Linked DNA regions of Macaca fascicularis. The protein of the gene in region 1 interacts with the protein of each later gene in a pairwise test. Links are inferred from orthologs where the notes say so. Each region holds a gene or a part of one and is shown in the gene's direction. Other genes may lie near its edges. The genes, in order: FHL2, ZNF131, SP2, KIAA1217, SAXO1, JUP and GLYR1.

Evidence for each region.
Region 2: the proteins of FHL2 (region 1) and ZNF131 interact in binary tests that used the Homo sapiens proteins (3 or more experiments, as listed by UniProt). The two-hybrid records come from large-scale screens. The link is inferred for Macaca fascicularis from reciprocal best matches to the Homo sapiens genes FHL2 and ZNF131.
Region 3: the proteins of FHL2 (region 1) and SP2 interact in binary tests that used the Homo sapiens proteins (3 or more experiments, as listed by UniProt). The two-hybrid records come from large-scale screens. The link is inferred for Macaca fascicularis from reciprocal best matches to the Homo sapiens genes FHL2 and SP2.
Region 4: the proteins of FHL2 (region 1) and KIAA1217 interact in binary tests that used the Homo sapiens proteins (3 or more experiments, as listed by UniProt). The two-hybrid records come from large-scale screens. The link is inferred for Macaca fascicularis from reciprocal best matches to the Homo sapiens genes FHL2 and KIAA1217.
Region 5: the proteins of FHL2 (region 1) and SAXO1 interact in binary tests that used the Homo sapiens proteins (3 or more experiments, as listed by UniProt). The two-hybrid records come from large-scale screens. The link is inferred for Macaca fascicularis from reciprocal best matches to the Homo sapiens genes FHL2 and SAXO1.
Region 6: the proteins of FHL2 (region 1) and JUP interact in binary tests that used the Homo sapiens proteins (3 or more experiments, as listed by UniProt). The two-hybrid records come from large-scale screens. The link is inferred for Macaca fascicularis from reciprocal best matches to the Homo sapiens genes FHL2 and JUP.
Region 7: the proteins of FHL2 (region 1) and GLYR1 interact in binary tests that used the Homo sapiens proteins (3 or more experiments, as listed by UniProt). The two-hybrid records come from large-scale screens. The link is inferred for Macaca fascicularis from reciprocal best matches to the Homo sapiens genes FHL2 and GLYR1.

Annotation. Positions count from the first base shown.
Region 1 is NC_088387.1:9,795,376-9,798,875, reverse strand, and holds part of FHL2 (four and a half LIM domains protein 2), read left to right. Parts: intron 1-265; coding exon 266-435; intron 436-3,500. UniProt on the Homo sapiens protein: May function as a molecular transmitter linking various signaling pathways to transcriptional regulation. Negatively regulates the transcriptional repressor E4F1 and may function in cell growth.
Region 2 is NC_088380.1:43,506,273-43,510,415, forward strand, and holds the start of ZNF131 (zinc finger protein 131), read left to right. Parts: upstream 1-1,343; 5' UTR 1,344-2,095; intron 2,096-2,283; 5' UTR 2,284-2,424; coding exon 2,425-2,529; intron 2,530-4,143. UniProt on the Homo sapiens protein: Plays a role during development and organogenesis as well as in the function of the adult central nervous system. May be involved in transcriptional regulation as a repressor of ESR1/ER-alpha signaling.
Region 3 is NC_088390.1:58,807,366-58,810,440, reverse strand, and holds the end of SP2 (transcription factor Sp2), read left to right. Parts: intron 1-1,340; coding exon 1,341-1,441; 3' UTR 1,442-2,575; downstream 2,576-3,075. UniProt on the Homo sapiens protein: Binds to GC box promoters elements and selectively activates mRNA synthesis from genes that contain functional recognition sites.
Region 4 is NC_088383.1:25,337,187-25,339,506, forward strand, and holds part of KIAA1217 (sickle tail protein homolog), read left to right. Parts: coding exon 1-901; intron 902-1,414; coding exon 1,415-1,537; coding exon of another isoform or gene 1,538-1,552; exon of another isoform or gene 1,553-1,752; intron 1,753-2,262; coding exon 2,263-2,320. UniProt on the Homo sapiens protein: Required for normal development of intervertebral disks.
Region 5 is NC_088389.1:79,936,738-79,940,237, forward strand, and holds part of SAXO1 (stabilizer of axonemal microtubules 1), read left to right. Parts: intron 1-4; coding exon 5-207; intron 208-3,500. UniProt on the Homo sapiens protein: May play a role in the regulation of cilium length. Stabilizes microtubules at low temperature.
Region 6 is NC_088390.1:62,820,550-62,824,829, reverse strand, and holds the start of JUP (junction plakoglobin), read left to right. Parts: upstream 1-1,480; 5' UTR 1,481-1,688; intron 1,689-3,763; exon of another isoform or gene 3,764-3,797; intron 3,798-4,280. UniProt on the Homo sapiens protein: Common junctional plaque protein. The membrane-associated plaques are architectural elements in an important strategic position to influence the arrangement and function of both the cytoskeleton and the cells within the tissue.
Region 7 is NC_088394.1:5,657,771-5,662,048, reverse strand, and holds the start of GLYR1 (cytokine-like nuclear factor N-PAC), read left to right. Parts: upstream 1-1,478; 5' UTR 1,479-1,501; coding exon 1,502-1,539; intron 1,540-2,557; coding exon 2,558-2,594; intron 2,595-3,605; coding exon 3,606-3,685; intron 3,686-4,278. UniProt on the Homo sapiens protein: Cytokine-like nuclear factor with chromatin gene reader activity involved in chromatin modification and regulation of gene expression. Acts as a nucleosome-destabilizing factor that is recruited to genes during transcriptional activation.

The DNA of each region.
Region 1 (3,500 bases):
AACCACGGTTTTCAATAAATAAATGTTAAGTACCTAAAATGTACACGTGTTGTTCTAGGAGCTGGGTGTACAGTAGTGAACCAAAAGACAAAGTCCATGCCCTGCACAAAATAGGAATTACCTCCATTTAGAGGTGAGCCTTCAAGAGCTGAAGTGACTTGCTCTGGTCATAAAACTAGAGGGTGGCAAGCTCTGAAGGCAATTGCTGGGACTCCACGCCCCTCTAAGCATAACTCTGCTGTGTTCCTCTTGACCCTGATGACAGGTACCCGCAAGATGGAGTACAAGGGCAGCAGCTGGCATGAGACCTGCTTCATCTGCCACCGCTGCCAGCAGCCAATTGGAACCAAGAGTTTCATCCCCAAAGACAATCAGAATTTCTGTGTGCCCTGCTATGAGAAACAACATGCCATGCAGTGCGTTCAGTGCAAAAAGGTATTTCAGATTCCCCCTTGGCCCTTGCACATCCTGGCCGGTTTGCCTCCACGGTCCATGTCTGTCAGTTCTCTTTCCAAAAACAAGGATACCTGTGATACTGGAATGGCGTGGGAGCTGTGCCTGTCCTGCCTTACATGCCGAGCTTTATCCATTGGGTCTGGGCGCCCATCCTTCTTTCAAAAACATCAACGCTGTTGAGCTCCTGTGATCAAATCGCTTAACCCTGCCTTCTTCTAGACCATTCTAAATATATTCTTATGTCGATGACCTGATGGTAGAGGGAAGGGGAGCCACTATCCCAAAGCTGTCTTGTTCAGCTTCTCTCCATGAATAAACCAAGAAAACAACTGCAAACTTGAGAGGGAGAGAAAGATGGAAGGAAGAGGGGGAGAGGAAGGGAGGGAGCAGGGAGAAGAGAGAGACGGGATGTGAGAAGAAAAGTAAAGGAGAAAAGTCTGCCCCCGTGGATATGGGACAGATCATTTATCAAATGTATCTACTCTGGCCAGGCAAGGAGGCTCATGCCTGTAATCCCAGCACTGTGGGAGGCCAAGGCTAGTGGATCACCTGTGGGAGGCCAAGGCTGGTGGATTACCTTAGGTCAGGAGTTCAAGACCAGCCTGGGCAACATGGTGAAACTCCATCTCTACTAAAAATACACAGCTTAGCTGGGCATGGTGGTGCACCCCTGTAATCCCAGCTACTCGGGAGGCTGAGGCAGGAGAATTGCTTGAACCTGGGAGGTGGAGGTTGTAGTGAGCCAAGATCACACCACTGCACTCCAGCCTGGGTGACAGAGCAAGACTCCATCTCAAAAAATTAAAAAAATAACAATAAATAAACTTAACTACTCGATCTGTTCCAGTCATGGCTCTGTTAGGGTTAAAGAAAGAAAGGGAACTGCCTATCTGTAGGAAGCCAACTCTCTGCCCAGTTGCCCCCCGACCTGTGCCCGTCAGGGTAGAACTTGGTTTTCTGCTGTGCCCTCTGACTCTCACACACACGCAACTCTGATTATGCCGTAGCTTCCAGCGTCTCTGTGCTGTTAGGCTTTGCATCAGCCTGTTGAGTGGCACCCTCCCACGGCTCACTCGCCCTGGGCAATGCCAGCTGTGGAACTCATTGCAGGTTCTGTTTGCTCTCAACCTCTCATTGACCCTGCTTACCCAGCTTCTGCTGTGTTGCCCTTGGGGCCTCTACCCTTGCCTCTTGGCCATGGAGAAACATCCCAGTGCCTCTACCTGTACCTGGCTGGCCTGGGCAAGAATGTCCCCCTTGCCTGCACCTTTTCTAAGTGCTGAGTATTCTTACCAATTTCCATTCAGCCTTTCTCTCGTTTCCATTTTTTTTTTTTTTTTTGGAGACAGAATCTCACACTGTCACCCAGGCTGGAGTACGGTGGCACGATCTTGGCTCATTGCAGCTTCTGCCTCTCCAGTTCAAGCGATTTCTTTTGCCTCAGCCTTCCAAGTAGATGGGATTACAGGCAAACGTCACCATGCCTGGCCGACTTTTTTGTATTTTTAGAAAACACGGGGTTTCAACATGTGGGCCAGGCTGATCTCGGAACTCCTGACCTCAGGTGATCGATCTGCCTCCGCCTCCACTGCACCCAGCCCCTTTTGTTCTTTACTGTTATTTTAGATTTTATTTCTCTTAATTTCCTCTCCATTTATGCTTTTTTTTTTTGAGACAGTTTCACTCTGTCACCTGCGCTGTAGTACAGTGGCATGATCTCAACTCACTGCAACCTTTGCCTTCCGGGTTCAAGCGATTCTCCTGCCTCAGGCTCCTGAGTAGCTACTCAGGCTCCTGAGTAGCTGGGATTACAGGCAGGCGCCACCACCACACCCACCTAATTTTTGTGTGTGTGTGTGTGTGTGTTTTTTAGTAGAGATGGTGTCTCACCTTGTTGGCCAGACTGGTCACGAACTCCTGTTTTTTTCTTTATTCTTAGATTGAGGTCTCATTCTTGCTTTTATTTTAGGAACTCTCTTCCCTGTTCTCTCCCCTTTTTATTTTCATTTTGGTTTGTTTTTCTCATCAAGACCTAACAGAAGTTCATCTGAATTGCTCTTCCTCTGTCATCTTTCCAGTGTGTGCTTTATTCATTTGCGGAAATGAAAGCAACACATCCTTCTGGGATGCATGCCTTTTGTGTGCATGTTCGTTAAATACACACAAAAACCTTCACGCCAGAAGCATCCATTCCTCGACATGAACTTGGCCCTCTCAGGCACTGGGGATCCGATGCTGGACAAGATGCAGACACTTAACTGCAGTCTAGCTGGAAGTACACTCCAGTGTCAAACCCGTCAGTCGTTACTAAGCAGTGTGCTGTGGAGGAGAAAGGCAGAGTGTGGAATGGAGGGACCTCAACTCATCTGAGGAGTCGGGGGCCAGGGTGGCGTTTAGGGAGGGAGTCTCTGAGAAAATCATGCTATGCTGAGAGGCATCGAGTTAGCTGATGTGGGTGGGAAGCATGGAATCCGGAGTGAGGGAGGACTGAGGACGTATGTTGCAGGCAGAGGAGACGTCTTACACACACAGGCTACTGATGCATATGGATGCGTTGCAACCAAGCGTGTTTTGTGTTCATTCTGTTGTGCGGTGGGGTGGGTTATAGGAAGATGCTTTATGATTCATGGTTTAATGAAAAGAATACAAGATAGAAGGGAGTCTGGAATTCTAGCTCCTGCTTTGTCATTAACCAGCTATGAATTCTTCAGCAAGTCACTTTTTAATTTCTCTGAGTCTCAGTTTACTCACCCATAAAATTAGTATCTTTCTTACTTCACAAGCTTTATGTAAAGACCAAAGGAATTACTGGATGATACTGAAATGTTCAAAAAATAAAAAGCAAAAAAGCGTGATTGTGAGGTGCTTGCACTCCATCTTCCATGGCCTTCGTTTGCCAAGCTGAGGCCACCTACACTCCTTTGATAGCTTACTCAGCTCCACCACGCACGCATTTTTAAACAGAATGTGAGATGCAACATTTGGAGAAAAATACCAGGTAAAATTGAGGTACTGATGGCCGTTCCACCTTGTGTGGCTTTGCA
Region 2 (4,143 bases), on another chromosome or scaffold:
ACAGGAGTTATAAACCACACGGGTGGCGATAATGGGGGTTCTTATTACGAAAGAGAAACTTGCTGCTACTAAAATTATGTAGGCATGGTTAAAGTCAGAAATGTTACGGCTAGAAATCTCAAACTAGAATACATCTCAACTTGCTAGGGTAAGAAATAGCTAAACTCTGACTTGGTCAGACTAAGAAATCAGGAGTTTGAGATCAGCCCAGGCAACCTGGCGAAACTCCGTCTCTAGGAAAAATACTAAAAATTACCCGGGCGTGGTGGCGTGTGCCTGTGGTCCCAGCTACTCCAGAGGCTGGGGTGGGAGGATCGCTTCAGCCCGGGAGGCTGAGGTTGCAGTGATCCGAGATCGCGGCACTGCACACCATCCTGGGCGACAGAGCCGGACCCCGTATCAAGAAAGAAAAAGAAAAAGAACCAAAGAAAAAGAAATTACCATCGCACAGTTAAGTCTGCCTTGCTAAACAGTGACTTCTAGGATCAAGAAATCGCAGCCAGGGCTAGACCGGTGTTTGCCCTAAACCGGGACTTGCTTAGGCTGAGAAATCACATTTTGGCTATTGATTTGTACAAGAGGTAGCAATCGCAGGCACCGCGAAATCGAAACTTGCGAGAACCAAGAAGCCAACGACGCGCGAAACCGCAGAGGCCTGGGACAGAGACGCGAGCGGCGGCGCCGCCAGAGGACTGGGTTCTGGAGGCTAAGCCAGAACCCCTACGACGCCGCTCGCGGCGCTGTGAAGAGACGGCGCCCGCGCAGCTCCTCTGCCACTTGGCTCAGACGAGCGGCGGGCTCCCCCGCCCAGCGCCGCCGCCACCCGGGAACGCCAGACTCTGCGCAACTGGCTGCGACTCCAAGTCCCTCAGATCAGCGACCAGAGCGCTGCCGCCACGAGAAAATGGAGGCACCGAGGAACAAGCTGTGCCGCCACCAAGAGAACTCGGCTCCGCGAAATGGCGGTGCCGGGACTCTGCGAGTGACGCCAGCCGGAGGAGTTCCCAAGGACAACATCCGTTTTGGCGCAACCAACTGTGTTGTCACGGAGAAAATGTCGACCCTCGGAAAAGAGAGGTTCTGCGACCGAGAAATTCGGTGCAACAAGTGCTGTGACAGAAACCCTCCCCCCGGCTCGGCGCTGTTGGCGAAAGAGCCAACAAAACGCTGGGTGCTGCCACCGTGACACCGACTTTAGGACACGGGCCTCGGATGGAGAAAGGAAGAGCACGGAGCCACCGCCTAACTTCCTAATGTCTTCAAATAGCGAAAGTGCTAACCGGAAACTGCCGGCTGGGTTTACCTATTGGTGTTTCGCGTGGGACCAGCAGATTCCAGAAACCAGAGGGACTGGAACCTAGTACACCTCGGCAATTGGGAAATGACCTACCAGGACAAATAACTGCTTCTGGCTCCATGGTGCTGCCCGTGAACATCCGCCGGCTCTGAGAAACGAGCTGCACTGTCAATGAGAAACCGTGGGCACTGAGAAAGGAGCGGGCTGCAACGGATAACTGCCCACCCATTGCCACTAGGACAAAGTGCTGCCGGCACTACTCCCACCCTCCGTCCTCAAATCAATCCTCTCCCGCTTAAGAAGACCTTTATTTTTCATAGCGAAGTCATACCGAGAGCCCCAGCAACCGACCCCTTGCGATGTGCATGGGAAAAGGAGGCAGTATAGCGATCGAGAATCGGGCGGATTAGGCTGGCCCTGGAAACAAAGTAAAAGCCATCCCGGTCGCCAGCCGTCTTCCACTGCAAGAAACAAACCTTCCAGTGGCTGGGCTCCGCCCTTCTCCTTGGTCAGAGCCCTCCAGACTCCTAAGAGGAAGCCGACACCTCATCCCTTTGGAATTTGAAGCTCTCAGTCCAAGACCTCAGTGGAGAGTGAAAGACACAATGCCGCCTGACCCAGGCTTCAGGCCTGCCCGGGCAGCTAGGTACCTCTCCAGGGGATGGAACTCTGTGGGAACTGCTATTTAATTCTGATGGTTAACTCTGTCAGATGGCCTTGATACATGGGAATAATCGTTGGAAGAGGGTAGAGGAAATAAGAACCGCAAGACTCTAGCACAGGACGTGTGGATTGATGGTGAGGCCTCTGTTCCCTCTCCCCTTGAAATCCTCAAAGGGCAGCTCCATTTCTATCACCTTTGACCTTTGAAATTCATCCCTGATGTCTTCTCCATCTTTGGGAAGTGCAGTGCAATTTCAAGCTCTTCAATCTTCCCTCTCCCCCATTTGTCAAATATGCTGACGCTACAAACTTCTTTTTTATAGGAAGCCTGAAACTGCCATTGAGCAGAAGGAAAACATCCCTTTCCAGAAGCTTTCTCGTTTCTCTAAAAATCTGCACTTTTGGAAGTGATCCCCCAAAGAGACCTCCAGACTCTACCATGAGTGTCTCCAGCTGAATTCATCATGTCTAATCCTCACCCTAGCTTATCCTGTTCAAATCATTTCCATCTTTTTCTGGATGAATCTGGGCGGATGTCAGACCAGAGAAGAGCACAAAATGCACCAGAGGTAAGAAGACCCATTTTGGGCTCTCACTTCTCACCCACTCCCGAGATGGCCACCTCCAGTCTTCCCTCCCTATACCCTACCCTTTCTTCAGCTAGCCAAAACCTGCCCTGGTACTTGAGGCTTCTTCAATTGCCTTCTTTTGCACGCAGTAGAATAAAGGAAAGAGGACAGTGTCAATAGAAGAAAAGTTACAGCCACTTTATCTAATTGAAGATACTGTGCAGAGTCTTTGAAAAAACAAAATATCCCACCCACCATTCCTCTCTCTCCCTTTCTACCCTAGCTTCCTATTTTAGCAAAAATGCTGGGATCAGCACTTCTGGAGGGAAGGGATCACCCTTCCAGGTTAGGAATGTGGAGAGGAGTTATGGAGCTCACTTCCCTAAAGGAGGGGGCATTCTAGTTCCGGCATTCAGATTCAGTCTGATTCCAATATGGTGTTTTTGTGGGGTGGTCAGAGAAAGGGCAAGTCAGGAACTGTATATTCCTCAGCTAGAGACTCTAAGACATTTGCATTTGGAAAATCAGGACAGATGCTGATATTGTTTGGCTCCATGTCCCCACCCAACTCTCACCTTGAATTGTAATAATCCCCACGTGTCAAGGGTGAGACCAGGTGGAGATAACTGAATCATGGGGGGTGGTTTTCCCCATGCTGTTCTCGTGATAATGAGTGGGTCTCCAAGATCTGATAGTTTTATAATTGGCATTTTCCCCTGCTGGCACACATTCTCCTGCGCCCCTCTGAAGAGGTGCCTTCCACCATGATTGTAAGTTTCCTGAGGCCATGCAGAGCTGTGAGTCAGTTAAACCTTCTTTCTTTATAAATTACCCAGTCTTGGATATTTCTTCATAGCAGTGCGAGAATGGACCAATACAGATGTGGTAGAGTTGGGTGCTGGGTGGCAATGTCAGGTATATGCAGGTTCTAGGCACCAGGTCAAATCTGGAATGCAAATTATGGGACACAAACCACAAATGATGTCCAGCCTTTAATATTTTCTTTCATTGTTTGTCAAATAGACAAAGAAACAAAGAATAAAGAAAAGCATTTTTTTTTTTTTTTTTTGAGACAGAGTCTCGCTCTGTTCCCCAGGATGGAGTGCAGTGGTATGATCTCGGCTCACTGCAACCTCTACCTCCCCGGTTCAAGTTATTCTCCTGCCTCAGCTCCGAGAAGCTGGGATTACAGGTGCACACCATCACACCTGGCTAATTTTTGTATTTTTAGTAGAGACAGGATTTCTCCCTGTTGGCCAGGCTGGTCTCAAAGTCCTGACCTCAAGTGATCTGCCTGCTTCAGCCTCTCAAAGTGCTGGAATTACAGGCATGAGTCACAGTGCCCAGCCTCAAAGTATATTTTTGTAAAATTTTATCAAGATAAACCTAGCTAAACCAATATACTAATAATAACAAAACTTGGGTTATTATTCACTAAAGGAAGGTGGCACAAAATAGAAACATTTTTAAACGTTCAAAAAAAAATCCAGCTAGGCGCAGTGGCTCACGCCTGTAATCCCAGCACTTTGGAAGGCCAAGGTGGGTGGATCACGAGATCAGGAGATCGAGACCATCCTGACTAACATAGTGAAACCCCATCTCTACCAAAAATAC
Region 3 (3,075 bases), on another chromosome or scaffold:
TTGGCTCACTGCAGTCTTGAACTCCTGGGCTCAAGCAATTCTCCCACCTCAACCTCCTGAGTAGCTAGGACTACAGGCGTGCACCACCACACCTGGCTAATTTTAAAATTTTTGTAGAGACAGGGTCTTACTGTGTTGCCCAGGCTGGTCTCAAACTTCTGGGCTCAGCTGATCCTCCCTCTTCTACCTCCCAAAGTGAGATATCACAGTTATAGTTTTAGGTACTAGCAAATCAATGCAAAACTATTAAAAATATTGATCCAGGCTGGGCACAGTGGCTCACACCTGTAATCCTAGCACTTTGGGAGGCTGAGGCAGGTGATCACTTGAGCCCAGGAGTTTGATCAGGCAGGGCAATATAGCGAGAGCCCATCTCTTAAAAAAAAAAAGTTCATACATCTGCCACCTGAAATTGTCCTGGGTATCCACAGTGGTCCACACACACACTTTGGCAAACACTGCTATAGTGAATGCCTGCAGTGAGCAGACACCTGTCCTGGGGCTAGAGGGCTGAGGGAAGCTTGACCCAGAGCTCCAGCTCCCGGCCAGTGTGGTGAGACAGGTCCTACTCCTCAAAAGGCAGAGGAGCCAGCACTCCACAGGAAAGCAGTTGGGGTCAACATGGTTCCAACTAAGTGAGTGCTCAGGGCTGGCAGGGTCAGGGTGGAGCGGGATTTTCCTGCGATGGGGAGGATGCTGATCCAGGTTCAAAGTCAGAGAGACAGAAGAAGAAAGCAGGCGGACAACCCTGCACGGAAGACTCTTAGGTGCAGGGGCTCCAGGGACAAGGAATGGGAACAAAATAGACTGCAGAGGTCAAATGGGGGCAGAGAGAAATGAGAATTGATAAAAAGATTTAGATGAGTAGGGGGCCAAGTGTGGTGGCTCATGCCTATAATCCCAGCACTTTGGGAGGCCAAGGTGGGCGGATCACTTGAGGTCAGGAGTTCAGGACCAGCCTGGCCAACATGGTGAAACCCTCTCTCTACAAAAATACAAAAATTAGCTGGGCGCAGTGGCGGGCATCTGTAGTCCCAACTACTTGAGAGGCTGAGGCAGGAGAATTGCTTGACCTGGGAGGTGGAGGTTGCAGTGAACGGAGATTGTACCACTGCATGCCAGCCTGGCCAACAGAGTGAGACTCCATCTCAAAAAAAAAAAAAAAAAAAGATTTAGATGAGTAGGCACCAGGGAGCAAATGTGAGAGCAGGAGGTGGGCAGAATGTGGTGACAAGGCTACGTCAGCTTGTTTGGGTGCCCCTCACACACACCCCACCTTTTTGGGCAGAGACAGGGTCTGTGCCCAGGGTATGTGGGTGATGGGCATCTCCTCTTCCCAGGGGACAAACGCTTCGAGTGCGCCCAGTGTCAGAAGCGCTTCATGAGGAGTGACCACCTCACCAAGCATTACAAGACCCACCTGGTCACGAAGAACTTGTAAGGCCAACTGCGGCGGGAGGCCCTGAAGATGCAATCCCCCGCCTGTGTCCTCCCTGGGCCCCTGGTGGAAAGGAGCCCTGTGGCTGCCCTGGGCCTGCCCTCAGCCCCACTCCTGTTCTGCAACTGTCCCCACAGGAAGGGGCTCTGCTCCCTGTCCTCCTTCTGAAGCCCCTTGGCTCCGCCTTGGCCCTTCCCCTCACCACGAGCTCCCGGCCTGCCCAGACTGTGGACACTGGCCGTGCCCAATGAGACGTTCTAAACCAGGACGCGTGGGAACCCTTATTTCCAAAGGAAAAACATGCATTTCACTCCGTCGAGGAGCAAAGTGAGCCCCCACCCCCCACCCCAATCCCCGCTCCCAACACTGCCGGAGTCGCATCGTGCCATGCCCACTCTCCTGCACCTCCCTGGCCCTGCCGGCCACTGTGGACGCCCTGGGGCTTGGCACCCACCTCTGGAGAGACTCGGGGCCACCTCCACTCCATGTGCCCAGCCCCGCCACAACCTCTCCTCCAGCACATTCCAGCTCTGTTTAAAAAGTAAAGACACCCACCGACTCCTCCTGATCCCCCTCTTTTTCTATGGAGAACGTTGCCTTATACTCTCTACTTCAGATGATGAACACTGTGTACTGTGTGTGCTTTAAAGAAGTTTTATTTAATTGCTCCCTTCTTCCTTTCCTTGTTATTCACCTCCCCAATGCCTGCTTTCAGTTGAGGGTTGGGGGCAATGATGAGCATATGAATTTTTTTCTCACTCTAGCAATTCCCTTTTCTAAATGACACAGCATTTAAACTCAAATCTGGATTCAGATAACAGCACCTGCCCATCCTGCACCTCTTCCCTCTCCCTTCACCTCACCCCTGCCCGGCCCAAGCTCTACTTGTGTACAGTGTATATTGTATAATAGACAATTGTGTCTACTACATGTTTAAAAACATATTGCTTGTTATTTTTGAGGCTTTTAAATTAAACAAAAATCCAACTTTATTTTTAGTTGTAACTGCTTGAGGTATGTTTTATGAATTAAGTGACAGATTTGTTATCCTTTATTAACGTACTTTGTTGGTCAGCGCTGGGCTGACAAAAATTTTTTCTTGCTAATAAATTTAGTTGCCTGAGGCAAAATCTTCAACTTGGCAGTTCGGCTTCCTTTGTCTTTTCCCTTGGAGAGCTCGGAGAGGAGACTCCAGAGGAGGGAGCTGTGGTCTCTCAGAGCGATCCACACTGGGATCAAGGTAGGACCTTACCCTCCTGACCCTCAGCAAACCCAGGCCACGTGCCCAAAAGGGGCCGCAGCCACATGTACCTCACGACACTGGCACGAGCCCCCAGAGCACCTCCAAGGGCCAGGGCCCAGTGCAGGTGTTCCTGCCTTTTTCTTCTGTAAGCCAGTTTTGCCTGTACACAAATCAGATACAAAGAGCCAAGTCACAGCAGTGACCTCAGCCAGCAAGTTAACTCCTCCACCCACCTCCCCAACCCCTGGAGGAAGGCATTGGCCTCAGAGCCCATTAGCAAGAGGCTTAGAGAGGAGAGCCAGTGGGGCCTTGGCTCAGTCCCCTCCAAAAGGCTACAGTCTGGCAAAAATGCATTTCCCCAAGGGCCAAGGTCCCTTCCCAAAGTGAAGGGCCA
Region 4 (2,320 bases), on another chromosome or scaffold:
CCTGGACAAGAAACCAGTGATCATCATTTTCGACGAGCCCATGGACATCCGGTCTGCATATAAGAGACTTTCAACTATCTTTGAGGAGTGTGATGAGGAATTAGAGAGAATGATGATGGAAGAAAAGATAGAGGAGGAGGAAGAGGAGGAAAATGGAGATTCTGTAGTCCAGAATAATACCACTTCCCAGATGTCTCATAAGAAGGTGGCCCCGGGCAATCTTAGAACAGGACAACAGGTGGAAACAAAGTCACAGCCACACTCTCTGGCAACAGAGACCAGAATCCCAGGGGGACAGGAAATGAACAGAATGGAGCTGGACAAGTTCAGCCACGTGGATTCTCCACATTCGGAATGGAAGGGTGGCGACCTGACCGATGACCAGTTTGAAAGCCCTAAGAAAAAGTTTAAATTCAAATTCCCTAAGAAGCAACTCGCCGCTCTCACTCAAGCCATTCGCACGGGAACTAAAACAGGGAAGAAGACTTTGCAAGTGGTAGTCTACGAAGAAGAGGAGGAGGACGGCACCCTGAAACAACACAAAGAAGCCAAGCGCTTTGAAATCACTAGGTCTCAACCTGAAGACAGCCCTGGAAACATGCTGAGGAGGGAAGAGCAGTCCAGCATCGAGAGCACGTCTCCGATTTCAAGAACTGATGAAATTAGAAAAAACACCTACAGAACGTTGGATAGCCTGGAGCAGACCATCAAACAGCTTGAAAATACAATCAGTGAAATGAGTCCCAAAGCCCTAGTTGATACCTCAGGTTCTTCCAACAGAGATTCTGTTGCAAGTTCATCCCACATAGCCCAGGAGGCCTCTCCCCGGCCCTTGCTAGTTCCGGATGAAGGCCCCACTGCCCTAGAGCCCCCTACGTCGATACCTTCAACTTCACGTAAGGTATCTTGGTCTGCTGGAAAATGAAAAGACCCGGCTGCTTTCCTAAATCTGCCATAATCACCATTAGCAAAAGGTGTCTTGTGACTTAATTGCTTTCTTTCAGGTGGCTTTATTTTATTTTATTTTATTTTTTTGTCTGTTCGCCATGAAACCCTTCTTTCATACTTTCTCCCTCACCTTCAAAACAACAACAACTAGGTGTCTAACAGCTAATCAATTCTGTTTTTGCCTCTGTTGCTGACTGGTGTTGGGTAAACACGAGGCTGCCGGGTCAGCCATGTGCTGTTGAAATCATTGCTCTGATACTCACATTAAAATCCGTTTGATCAGTAGTGAGCAGTTGATTCTGTTTGATTTTTCTGATTAACCCCAGTTGGTGTCTCCTAGATCTGTCCTGCATGTAGGGCTGTGGCTTCTCACCTTGAGCTTCTCTGAACATAGTGGAGCAGCCTCACGGATGACCTACTCACGTGCTTCTCCTTCTCTTCCCCCTCTCACTGGTCCTTCCCACAGGGCTCCAGCGGGGCCCCACAGACGAGCAGGATGCCTGTCCCCATGAGTGCCAAGAACAGACCCGGAACCCTGGACAAACCTGGCAAGCAGTCCAAACTGCAGGATCCCCGCCAATATCGTCAGGTAGTTTTACCTTAAACCCAATTTTGGATGGACGCTATTTCAGTTAAGAAGCAAGTCACTGACTTAGTTTATACCAAATATTGTGCTTTCTTTGTAAGATAACGGTTTACATAGACATCCTGGATCTGGGGGCATGAAGAAAGTCTAAAAACCATTTGTTAAACTTTTTCACCACGCTTTTGCATGCTTACAATAAAACATCTTTTACTTTGTGACTCCAAGCTCCAAATTTTAACTGTTAACACACGGTGCCAGACCAGGTGGCTTTTCTTTGGTGAATGTAGTGTTTCATCTGAACACCTCGGGAAGCAGAGACAAACCAACCTGTGGTGGAACTGCCCTTAACGTCACCACTACTAACGTCTATGTTGACTGTATTGCGTTAGAAGCACATTAACGCTCCGTCAAAATGCCCGACCCCCACCCCAGTAATTATCCAGACGCATGGCCCACCTGGCACACGGGAAATGATAGAGCTGGAATCATGGGACTCCTCTCACAAATGCGTTCTTCCTTTCCTCCTTTCCTGTCCATCCTTTGCTATGTACGTGGGGGGTTTCTACCAGGTCCAGTAAAGCACAACAAGACTTAGCTCAGGCCTTGAACTGTGTGTGGTTGGTTTTCTTTGATTGAATTATTCTCAGAAGGGCTGTGTTGCCAGGCCCTGTGGGTTGATCACGTGTCCACCTTTCTGACAAAATGTCTCCCACCATCTTTATTTGCAGGCTAATGGAAGTGCTAAGAAATCTGGTGGGGACTTTAAGCCTACTTCCCCCTCCTTAC
Region 5 (3,500 bases), on another chromosome or scaffold:
ACAGGAGAGATTTTGGGCCTCACAAAGTGGCACCAGTGAAGGCCCACCAGTATGACCAGTTCGTCCCAAGTGAAGAGAATATGGATTTGCTCACGACGTATAAGAAAGATTACAATCCCTACACTGTCTGTCGAGTGGACCCCATCAAACCTCGGGACAGTAAATATCCATATAGCAACAAGATGGAGTATTTGCCTACTTATAAAGGTGGGAGAGCACAGAGGGGCAGATTGGGGGAAGGACAGGCTGAGCCTGTGTGCGGGCCAGGAAACGTGTTTAATGTGCAAAGTCACTTAGTGCAAGAGTTGGCAGGCTACTTCCTACGGACCAGATCTGGCCAGCAGCCTGTTTTTGTATAGCTGGAGAGCTAAGAAAGGTTAAACATTTTTTTTTTAATAATTGAAAAACAAATCAAAAGGCTATCATTTGAGGACTGTGAAAATGATATAAAATTCAAAATTCAGTGTTCATGTTTTATTAGAACACAGCCATATTCATTCACTTACACAGTATCAATGGCTACTTTTTGCACTATAGTAGCAAAGTTGAGTAGTTATTGACAGAGACACCACATTCTGTGAGACATAAGACACTTAACACCTGGCTCTTATACAGAATATCTGCCAACCCCTGCCTTAGCTTGCAGTTTGAATCCTATATTGGGGGAAGCACTTCAAGTTCAAGCTAAGTTAGTTTCTACCATTGATTAAGTGATTGATTCATTCACGTGTTTAAAAAATATATCATTCACGTGTTTAAAAAATATATCAAAATGTAACATGCATATGGAAAAGTATACAATTTATAATTATACAGATCAATAAATTTGCACTGAACAAATCCATGTAAACAGTACCCAGATCAAGAAATATAACATTACTACCCCATTTCTGTCACCCTCCCCAACGAGAACGTAACCGTTATTTTAACCTTTAATACCTTACCTTAAATTAGTTTTGCCAGTTTTGAACTTTATATAAACAGGATTGCTTCTTTCTTTATTGAGTATCTATTGATATTACCTACGAGGTGTGGTCCTAGAAACTGAAGGAAGCATAATGGCCTGCCCTCGACTTTCTGGCCTAGCGGAGAGACAGGATATGTGGTCATATGTGTTGTGCTAGCAGACAGCCACTCTATGGAGCTCAGCTGCAAAGACTGAGACCATGAGACTGGAGACCAGGTTTGTCATCAATAACTCATGCTTATGATACCCACCTTTGCCCTAGGAGGACATGCTAAACAGTTCACAGACCTCTCAATGCTGTGAAGAGAGGGGGCCACTTTTCTTTAGTCAAGCCAAGCATTTAGGGTGAAGATGGTGGTGGAGGTAGTGAGGTTGGAGGGATGTGAGCTCCTAGAAAGGCCTCTAATTCTGTCATCCTGGAGGACCCTGTGCCTAGTTGAGTTTCTCTGAGTCTTCCAGGAACTGAGGACTGGATTGGCATGGGCCTCTTCAGCAATCTGAGCTCTGCCCTTTTATTTTCTTTAGCTTCCTCCTCTAACACTCACCCATGGCTACTTTTGGTCGAGCCACCTTTTGTCAGCAGTACAAAAACTGATTAATATTCTGAATGTTATCATACCCCGAAATGGCCCCACTTCTGAAGCCTTTGTGCACATTGGCATCCTGTCCTCTGAGCTTGTCCTCTTATCTCCTCCCACCATGCTAGTCCTTGGCCCTGTTGGGACCTCCAGTCCATTGACATCTCAACCCTCCCTCTTACCACCAGCCCCTCCTGTGTCTGTCCCCCCCCACGGAGTCTACTCCATGGCCTATCTTTGGAGCCCATCTGCTACTGATAGCCAAGACTCCCTCTCTCTTCAGCCCTTTTGCTATTTCCTCCTGGCAAAGCCGTAATCCTGTTTTCTGCATGTCTATACCTGGGCACACACCTGAGCATATATCCAGTCTTGTCAGCTCTTACCCATTTTCCACAGAAAGGGAGCAGAGCAGTCTTCTAAACATGGCCATCTGATGTGACCTCTCCTGTGTATGAAACTCCTCAGATAATCATTTGATAAAATCATTATTTTATCAAATCATATGATCCTATTATGATAAAAACCCAAACCTTGACTGCCTCCTCTGATGCCTTGGAGGTCCTGATGTCTAAGCCCATCTGCTCCAGCCTCAGGGCCTTCTTTCAGGTCCCTTCCTACATTTCTTTTCTGCTTCAGGGCATTTGTTTAGCACATGTGATGTCTTCTACATAGAATCCTTCTGCTTCCTTGATCGAGCACTTACCCTTTCAGCTAGCAGCTGAAAGATCACATTCTGAGCCCTTCCCTATGTCAGACTGGATGCTATATGGGTGCCTTGCACTCCCCTGTCTTGTCATTCATTGTGTACTTTTAATGCTTCCTATAATGGCCAGGCTGTAAGCTCCAAGGGGCAGGGATCTGTTTGTCTTTTTCTTTGCCAATTACCCTCTCACAGCAGGCACTACACAGGTAGTCCATACAACCAGGTGTATGACCGTGGGCAGGGTGTTGGGGGGCACTTTTGCCTCTACTGAATGCATTCTTCTCCCTTTTAATCCAGTGTTTACAAGAAGACCAGAAATAAGGCACCACAGACATTGAGCAAGTGGGATAGAGGAATGAAACTGCAGTAAGCGCTTTCCACCATTGGTGGAGGGGATAAGGGACTCTGATAGGGCATATCCAATGGCGGACTCACCTCTCCTCTACACTGTCTTTGTGTGCCCTGTTGGTTTATGAATCTTAGTATAGGGAGAGACTCTTCAGAGCTCCTGCCTGTCAGTTCAGTTCCTTGTCTTCCACCTTTCCCTAGGTGCAGGGAGAGGTCCGCGAGTGAAAAATGCTCCTTGCTTGTCTTGGGGATTGGCAAGGATGGAGGAGGTCTACATGTAGTATTTAAAGAGAAGTCCTCCCTACTTATCCCCAGGAAGCTACTTACCACTCAACACACACACACACACACACACACAAACACATGCATGCATGCACCCCACCACACCCCACCAGTACTCTTTAATCTCTTTCACTGCCAGTTTCCCCTGTCTCTCCCTTTGTCCATATAGCTACATCTCAGGCTGTCCTCTTCAAACTACAGAAGAGTGAATATTCCACAGCTTAAACTGAATCATGGCTGACAGGGTTTGGCTCTCTGCCCCCACCAAATCTCATGTCAAATTGTAATCCTCAGTGTTGGAGGTGGGGCCTGGTGAGAGGTGATTGTATAATGGGGGTGATTTCTAATGGTTTAGCACCCCCCTACCCCCTTAGTACTGTATAGTGAGTGAGTTCTCCTAAGATTGTTTAAAAGCATGTGGCACCTCCCCACCTCCCGACTCACTCTCTCTGTCCTGCTCCTGCCGTGTAAGATGTCTTCTCATGCTTTGCCTTCCACCATGAGTAGAACTCCCTGAGGCCTCCCCAGAAACAGATGCTACCATGCTTCCCGTATATCCTGTAGAACCATGAGCCAGTTCAACTGCTTTTCTTTATAAATTACCCAACCTCAGGCATTTCTT
Region 6 (4,280 bases), on another chromosome or scaffold:
TCTCTACCCCAGGCTCTCCTATCGTGGAGGGATGTGCTACCCAGTTTCTTTTTTTCTTTTTCTTTTTGTTTGAGATGGAGTCTCACTCTGTCACGCTGAGGCCGGAGTGCAGTGACATGATCTCAGCTCACTGCAACCTCCGCCTCCCGGGTTCAAGCAATTCTCCTGCCTCAGTCTCCCAAGCAGCTGGGATTATAGTTGCCCGCCACCACGCCCAGCTAATTTTTTGTATTTTTAGTAGATATGGAGTTTCACCATATTGGCCAGGCTGGTGTTGATCTCCCGACCTCAGGTTATCCACCCACCTTGGCCTGCCCCGTTTCTTTCATGCCTGGGTTTCTTTCAGATCTGCTGCTTGATGTTTCCAAGCCCATCAAAGCCTCCTGACACCAATACTGTATTTTTGTGCCAATTAATTGTTCTGTCTCTCCTCCCAGTGTTTGTGCCTTTTCTCTGCCCCTTCCCCCATTGCCTTGACATTTTATGTCTATGCATTTTATGTTCCATGAAGGGAACAGCTGGTTCGATGGTCCTTCAAATGAGAAGGAGGTTCTAGCTTGGGGTGTGCCACTTTGTAGTTTTGTGACTTATCTGAACCTCGGTTTCTTCATCTTTACAATGAGGGTCGTTTTCTCATCTTAACTATTTTTTCAGAGCTGTCACAATAATTAAAACAAAAATATCATTAATTTAAATTCTAACCTTTAGCAGTTTCCGAGTGCTTTCACAAACCTGACTTCATTTAATCCCCACATACTCCAGAGAGGTAGATACGGCTAATGTATCCAGTTTACAGATGAGGAGAAACAGGGTGAAGTAACTTGTCTAAGATCATACTAAGTGGGAGAACACAAACCCTGGTCTTCTAATTCTAAATCCCAGGAGTACTCCATCTTTGGGGGGAAAAAATCCCAACCCAGCACAAAGCCTATGAAATGCTATACAAATATGTGATTACTACTTTGGGGCAAGGATGAATAAGCCCAAAGAAGCATCATGCTTGACGCTGAGTTGGCTGGCCGGTGAAGGCGTCTGTCCCTTCCCTTAGTATCCCCTGACTTACCTGTTGGACAGGTAGGGGGAAGGGGAGAGTAATGAGTCTCACCTGCTCAGAGCAAGGGTGGGGCAAGACACACCCCATCCCTTCCATTGGTTTTTTCCTTAGTCTTACTGACAGCCCCTTGTCCAATCAGGAGGAAGTAACTTTCTATCTGCCAATAGGTGCAGTGTTAGGATGAGACCTCAAGTTAGAGTCCATCCCTAGAGCCGACTGGCAGTCCCTGGGGCCAATGGCAAGCGGATAAACAGAGGCGGCCGTGGAAGAGGACTGGAGGTGAGGCTCCGCCCCTCGACGGGACAGTCAGGCGAGACAGCCAGTGAGCTCGCACCAGAGGGTGGGCGTCTCCCCCAGGGGCGGAGCTTCGAGGTGGCGAGGGGCGTGGCTTGGCTGTCAGGTCTCTTTGCCTTTTGTTCGGTTACTGAGTTGCTGCCTTGGCCAGAGTCCGGAGCAGCCGCCGCCCGACCACGCCGAGCTCAGTTAGCTGCCTGCGCCGGCTCCCACCCCGGCCCGACCCCGACCCGGCCCGGCCAGGCCCCATACTAAGGTGCGGGCGATCGGGAGCAGGTATCGCTGGGGAGAGAAGGGGTGGCGAGCGCCCGCGAGGCCGGTCCCTGCCGTCTCTGGGCAGGTGAGGGCGGGTGCCATGGAGCGCCACCCTGCACCGGCGGCAGGGGGCGCGCTGGGGTCCTGGGCGCGGCGACCTGGGGGTCGCGCGGTTTGGGCAGAGCGCGCCTGGGAGCTCCGCGAGCCAGAGATCTGAGCAGGGCGGGAGGGATCCGGACAGGTGCCTCCGGAGTCGTGCCTCCCCCGGGGCCCGCGCCCCTCGCCCGACGCCGCGTCCCTGACTCTCGCCCTGAGCTGGTGGGGGAGACTTTGCCCTGCTTTGACTGCGTCCCAGGGCTCACGCTGCAGTCAGGAATTTACCGTTTGGGAAACTTGCTGCCGCTGGTCTCTGGGGCCACTCTCACCCCACCCCACGCGTCATCCTCGCTTTCCCTCCCTCCCTACTCCCCCAGGCCTGGGTGGGGCCCTATTGTCTGCGCCCAGCTTGCCCAACTGTGGGGGCCGAGCACACATTTTCCTAGCGACGCTGGCCCCACCTGCCGAGCAGGTGAGCGCACGGAGTCCAGAGGCCCTGCCCTCCAACTCCCAGAGCCTCGTCCATACTACCTGCGGCGCCTCCCTCCACTCCGGTGGGAGCCGGGCTCTGGCTTCTTCAGCGGAGGTGGGATGGAGTGACAGTGGTGGGTGCAGGGCTCGACCCAGTGTCCAGCTGGTGTGTCTGGCATCCGTGGCTCGCCCTGGAGTCTGGGGGGTGGGGTCTGTGCACGGATGAAGAATTCAGGGTCACCTGGCCCAGTTTCCAGTAGCTGTGGCTGCTAGAGTGTTGGTAGGGGAACAGGACCCGTCTTCTTCTCTAACCTCTTATTGTTGGAAAAATCACCCAAAACAAACTTTGCAGGAGGAAGTATTCACAGCAGCTTGATCTGGGGGTTTTCCTGTCTCCTTGCCCAAAACTTCCTTTAGGCTTAGGGGGTCCTTCTTGGTGCAAAGCCCCTTCCCCTAGCCGGCCCCTGGCTGAACCTGGGCGGGTGCCTGCGCTCCGACCCTGTCTTCCCTGCCCCCACCTTCATCCTCTTCGCTGGGCCCCAGGGGCCTGAGGTGGGGGCCGGGGTGGGGGGTGGAAAGTGCTGAGAGGGGAAGCAGCTTCTTCCTTCTCTTCCTGCCTCCGGGGACCACCACACCCCCTCAGACGAGGCCTGCGTAAGCGGCTCTCTCTCTCAAGCTCTGCCCCCTCCCCAGGAATGGGGGTGGGGCAGGGCTGGGCCAAACTGAGGAAGGTGGGGGGAGTGGTTGTTCTTGTCTTTTTTTTTTCTCTACCCCATCCCCCACATTACTTAGCTGGCTGGTAATTGAGGCAAAAGAGCATGAGGCTGTGGGACTTGCCTTCCATTTGATTTCTGAATTATGAAGGTGCATGCTTTCTGGAGGCCTGCACAGACCTTTCCCACCCCCTTTCCTGAAAGAATTTGACAGGGAAAGTGAGACCGGAGGAAGGCTTTTTGGGGGAAGGTTTCTTCAGTGCTAGACTCCCTCAGGCAGAGCTGCATCGGGCCCCTGCCTTCCCTGCTCCCAATTTCCTGAGACCCCCCCACCCTCCGGAATTGGGAATCTTGACCAGGCTTTCTACCCCGGTTTAAAAAACAATCTGAAGTGTGGTCTTTTTGCAGGATTTGGAGCCCAGCCTCCTTGGGGAACAGAGAGAGAATACCACAGTTGGGTTCTCTCTCAGTCCTAGGGGTGGGAGAAAGATTGCGGGGAGCGGGGATGGAGAGTGCTTGGAGGGGGAGAGTCTACCACCTCTTTCTTTGTTGTAGATGGGGGAGTGAGGCTGGGGGCCCAGACTCAGCCCCTTTATCCTGGGTGGGGATCACGCTCAGCCCGGGGCTAGGGGGAAGTCAGTGTGGGAACTCAGATCCTTTTCTGCTGGAGGAGGGGGGCGGTGCACCTCTGGGGCGCAACAGGAGCACGGAGTTTGGGCAAAAATAACCTGCTTTCCCTCTTCTCCCTGCCAAGGTGGAGGAGGGGAGGGCATTGTAATTATGTTGGCTAAATGATTAGTTTAGCTAATCTGGTTTGTGGCTGTGATGAAAAGATAATACTGAGGAAGTACTACTAGGAGGTGCCTGGTGAAAACTGGCCACTGACTGGACTGGGGGACGCGGAGGAGGAGAAGGTAGGACCCAATTAGTCATTTCTTGCTAGATCAAGCCCCAGCTTGGGTGACTTGAGCCCTCCCACCCCCACTCCACCCCTCCCTTGCACCCTGGCTCCACTCCATTCCCTCTGGAACCTCTGGGCTGCCAGGGCTGAGGCTTTGAGAATGCAGTGTATAGGAACGAAAAAGGTCGGGCTAGGGCTGCCAACCTTCTTCCCTTCCTGGAGCCACCTTAGAATGAGATCGGTCAATTGACTAGTCTACAGAAGGACTGTTTGTTTGGAGAGATGGGACAGTGGGGCAGTTCTGAGCACAGGGCTTTGGGCTTGAACTGAGCTGGGTTTGAGAACCAGCTCTGTCTCTCATTACATTGCCTGAGTCTCAGTGACTTCTTTGGCAAAATGGGAATACAACACCTATCTACCCGGTAAGTACTTGACAAATGGTAACTCAAGATCAAGGTCAGACTTTACAGAAACCAAGCACTTTCTTTTTTTTTTG
Region 7 (4,278 bases), on another chromosome or scaffold:
TAAGAATTTTTAAACAGGAACATGTTATTTTTATCAAATTATTCCCTAGTATCTCAAATACGCTTTCAACATCATTTTGTCTTAAAAATACATACACAGTAAAATGACAGTTCATGAAGTTAATTCTTGGTACTTCAGGAAAACTGATCTCCAAAAAAAAATCAGGCTGCGGGACGACCCAGTACGCTAAACACCGACTTGCAACCGAAACCTCTAACCACCAAAATGCCTTGGGGAAACGCGTGGGGACCCGCCACCTTTTCCAGCAGGCTGGAACTCAACAAGAGCCCGACACCAAGTCTAAGTCATTCCTTGACACTGTGGAGTCTGTGATCAGGTCTGGGATCTTTTGCAAAACTGTGTTTCTACCCGGTCTGCTGAAGTTTGGGCCGGCGCTGCGCTCAACCGCAGCTAACACTTCCCACTTCATGGTTCAGTTTTCAAGTGTCCAAACTACGCCCGGCATCTGTCTTCCTGTTGTCACAACTTTTTCAGAAGTGCCAAACTACGGCAAGGCTAACGGGAGAGCCCGGACCCGACAAAGACACGCACCTTTGTCCCCAGAGCCGACGCGGGCCGCAGACGTCCCCCCGCGGCGGTCCTCATGCCGGTCCCCGGGCGGCGGCGCAGCTAGCGGTCGGCTCCCGAGCCGTGGCTCCCTGCGGGCGGGCGGCCCGCGCCTGGGCCCATGACCGGGTCCCCGCGCCCAGGGGAGCCTGGTGTGCCGCGCCGCGCGCCGGCCCAGGAGGAAGCGAAGAAATGCCAACTCGACGTCCGTACAGCCACTCTGAGGACACCAAGGGGTCGGGGGAGCAGCCTCCGGGCGCCCCGGGAGAACTTGCGGCGCGGGACCACGCGCTCAGACGGCGCCTCCGAAAGCGGCCGTCGGGAGGAGCGCTCCAAAGAACACGGGCGGCAGGAGCAGACGGGCGCGGACACCAGGGCCTCCCGGTCTGCGGCCAAGAGGAGTAGCCGGGCGCCGGAGCCCAGACCCGGCGGAAGCTGAGTTCCAGGCCGCGCTGAGCTCCGTCACGGGAGCTCACGGGCGCAGCGACGGGGCCGACCAGCGCCTCGGGCTCGGGAATGGCCCCGGGGCCCGCGCAGGACCAACGGCCGCAACGGAAGCGCCGAGAGGGGAGGAGCGCGGAGTCCAAGGCCCGGGGGCGGGGCAGGCCGCGAGGCCGGCTCCCTCTCGCGCTCAGCCGGTCGCACCGTCGCCGCCGCCGCCGCCGCCTCAGACCGCGGACGCTTCGTTGTCACGAGCCGGAGGGAGGGGGAAAGAGCCGGGAGTCTCTGCGCTCCGGCGCGCGGAGACCGCGGCGCTCGCGTCACGTGCCGCTCGGCCAGCCAATGATCCCCGACAGGCGCGGTGACGTCGGAGCAGCGGCGTGGCCGATGACAGCCGGCCCCCATCACGTGGTCGAACCCACTCCAATGGGCGGCGCCGAGGCGACCTGCTTGTTCCCGGCGGCCCGTGCGTCGGCGGTGGTTGGGTGGTAAGATGGCGGCTGTGAGTCTGCGGCTCGGCGACTTGGTGTGGTGAGTCCGGGCGGCCGGGCCAACCGAGATGCGCCGGGGAGCTGCCCGCCAGGGTGCTGGGTTCGCTGCCGGCCCCGGAGCTGTCTTTCTGTGCGCTCCAGGTCGCGGAGAGAGGGGAAGAGAAGGTGCCGGCGCTTCCGAGCGGCGCCGGGCGGAAGGGGCAGTCCAGTCCCGGGGGACCGAGGCCGAGGGTGGCCACGGCGGGCACCGGCTTTGATCCCCGAGGCCGCCCGGGAGGGTTCTGCACTCGGGGCCCAGATACTGGCGGCCCCTGTGAAAGGACCCGCCAGTGCCGCGAGGCTTCCTTGGACGACTTGTTCCCGGGGTCTTGCTGGGGCTTCCCAGAAAGCAGAAGCGCCGGGGACCGGACCTGCGAGTCCATCTCGCCGGTGCCATTCGGTTAAAGCCCAGGTTGCGATGCAGCCGACCTGTGCGGGCGGCTCAGCCGGGATTGTCTAAACCGGACTTCTGGCGTTGCCCCGCGAAGAAACGGCGGGGTAGTTCTTTACAACCAATGGCTTGGCAGTGACCAGTGCAGGCTTGGGTGCCTCCCGCGTTCTGCTTCTCTGTCCCAGACAACCGCCCGAACCAAGGCTGATTGTCGCCGCCTCCCTCGAGCTGCATAGCTTGTTTCTCCACCCAGAGGAAGGCTTCCATTAGCATTTGTCAAAGCCAGGCAGGTCTCCTGTTGAATTAAACCAGACTTAGGGAGGGAAAGTCTGTGTTTACAGAGGAAGTTGTCCTCCCACCCCCGTCATTAAGAAGCTCCAGACAAGTGACTTTTGACAGTTGTGTTGTTTTGTATTCCTTGTCAACAGAAGAATGGTTACACGTTGTGCACATAAGTATACAATTTTGCATTTTGCTTCTGAGGGTCTTGGGCCCAGCTGTGGAAGCTTTTGTTCCGCCACTTGAGGATGCCAGCAGAGATTTAGGAAAATAAATTGCGTACTGAGTGGGTTGAAGGAGATAGGCTGACTTTTCCAGGTCGAGTGTTAACTCTGTGTTTTTTCTCTAGGGGGAAACTCGGCCGGTATCCTCCTTGGCCAGGAAAGGTGAGTGTGTTGCTACTAAAGGAAGATATCTGAAGTTGGGTTTGAGGAGGTGGAGAATGTAAGATGCATTCCTCTCAGTTTCTAGTATTGAGTTAAACTGGGCCCATTCAGATGGCACTTAGAATTTTTTTTCTCCTAGTATCAGTTATTTTTTTAAAGGCAATGCAGTATATTCCAGATCATTAAATCTGCTCTAAACGCTTATTTCTTGATTTAGAGAAGGTTTATGAAGTTTCTTTTTTAACCCCGGAAATAATTCTAATCTGAATTTAGCTTTATGCTTAAATGTAACAAAAGGAGAAGAAAATATAAATTATCCAGGAAGAGAAGTCTAAATGTAGGTTAGTGAAAAGCCAAAGTATTTTTGTCCCAACTAAGTTTAAATCTTCTTTCCATGTTACCATATGTGCTACTCCAGTGCCTCTTTGCAGAAGTTGGCATTCCAGATTTTGCATGAGGTGATCCATCGTTGCTTTCCAAATGTGTTTTTATATTCTTGCTTGGAGCCCAGGAAGTGTCTTTAGATGGTCTCTTTGCAATATGGTGTTTTCTGTGCCTCAGTTGTCCTTTGTTTTCACTATGTCCTGTCTCAACTCTTCCTGCACAGGAAGTATTTCAAAGAGGGTCCTCTGCTTTTTTTCAGTAATGATGGGGTCACATTGGGGCGGGGCAGGTTGGTGGGGGGCAGGAGATGTTGTTGATCTTAGTTTTAACTGCTTGTAAAACAGGGCCTCTACAGTGAAAGGGATATTGTGTCTGCTGAGCACTGTGCTACATGTTAAATATTGGGAACTTGTAGAATATCTACACATTTCCACAAATCTCTAGAAAAATGGGAGATTTAGACAAGTACTAGGCCTTGGGTTCTGTTTTGTATATAAATACATTTATTTGTAAGTCATTTTAATTTACTTTTTTCTTCCCAACATAGAGCTGTGTAGAGCAATGTGGAGCCACTAGACAGTGGGCTGCGCGTTGCCAGCCAACCTTTTTCCCCCTTTTATCCTCCAGATTGTTAATCCACCAAAGGACTTGAAGAAACCTCGTGGAAAGAAATGCTTCTTTGTGAAATTTTTTGGAACAGAAGATCAGTGAGTAGTATTCACCAGGAGTCTCCCTTTACCTTTCTTTCTGTGTTACCTGGAGTCTGAGCTGCTTTGAAAATATTCTAAGGATCCTTAGTTCAGTCTTCTTATAATGTATAATACTGGCATCTCATTCTGGCTTCATACCTAAATAAAGGTGCAATTTCTTGCAGAAATTGCCCTAGACAACTGTCCTAGGCCTATAACTAAGTCAGGCAAGAGCTAGGTTCATTTACCTTCTAAATGTAATAATCACATCGAAGTAGTTTCTCACATGTTTCTTTACCCAACTCCAAAGGCAGTTCCTTTTTGTTTGTTTTTGAGACAGGGACTTACTCTGTCACCCAACCTGGAGTGCAGAGGCACAGTCTCAGCTCAGCACAACCTCTGCCTCCCCAACTCAAGCAGTCCTCTCACCTCAGCCTCCCGAATAGCTGGGACCACAAGTGTGCACCACCATGCCCAGCTGATTTTTTGTAGAGGGGGTTTTACCGTGTTGCCCAGGATGATGTAGAACTCCTGGACTCAAGCAATCCACCTGCCTTGGCCTCCCAAAGTGCTGGATTATAGGCATGAACCACCACCCCCAGCTGGCAGTT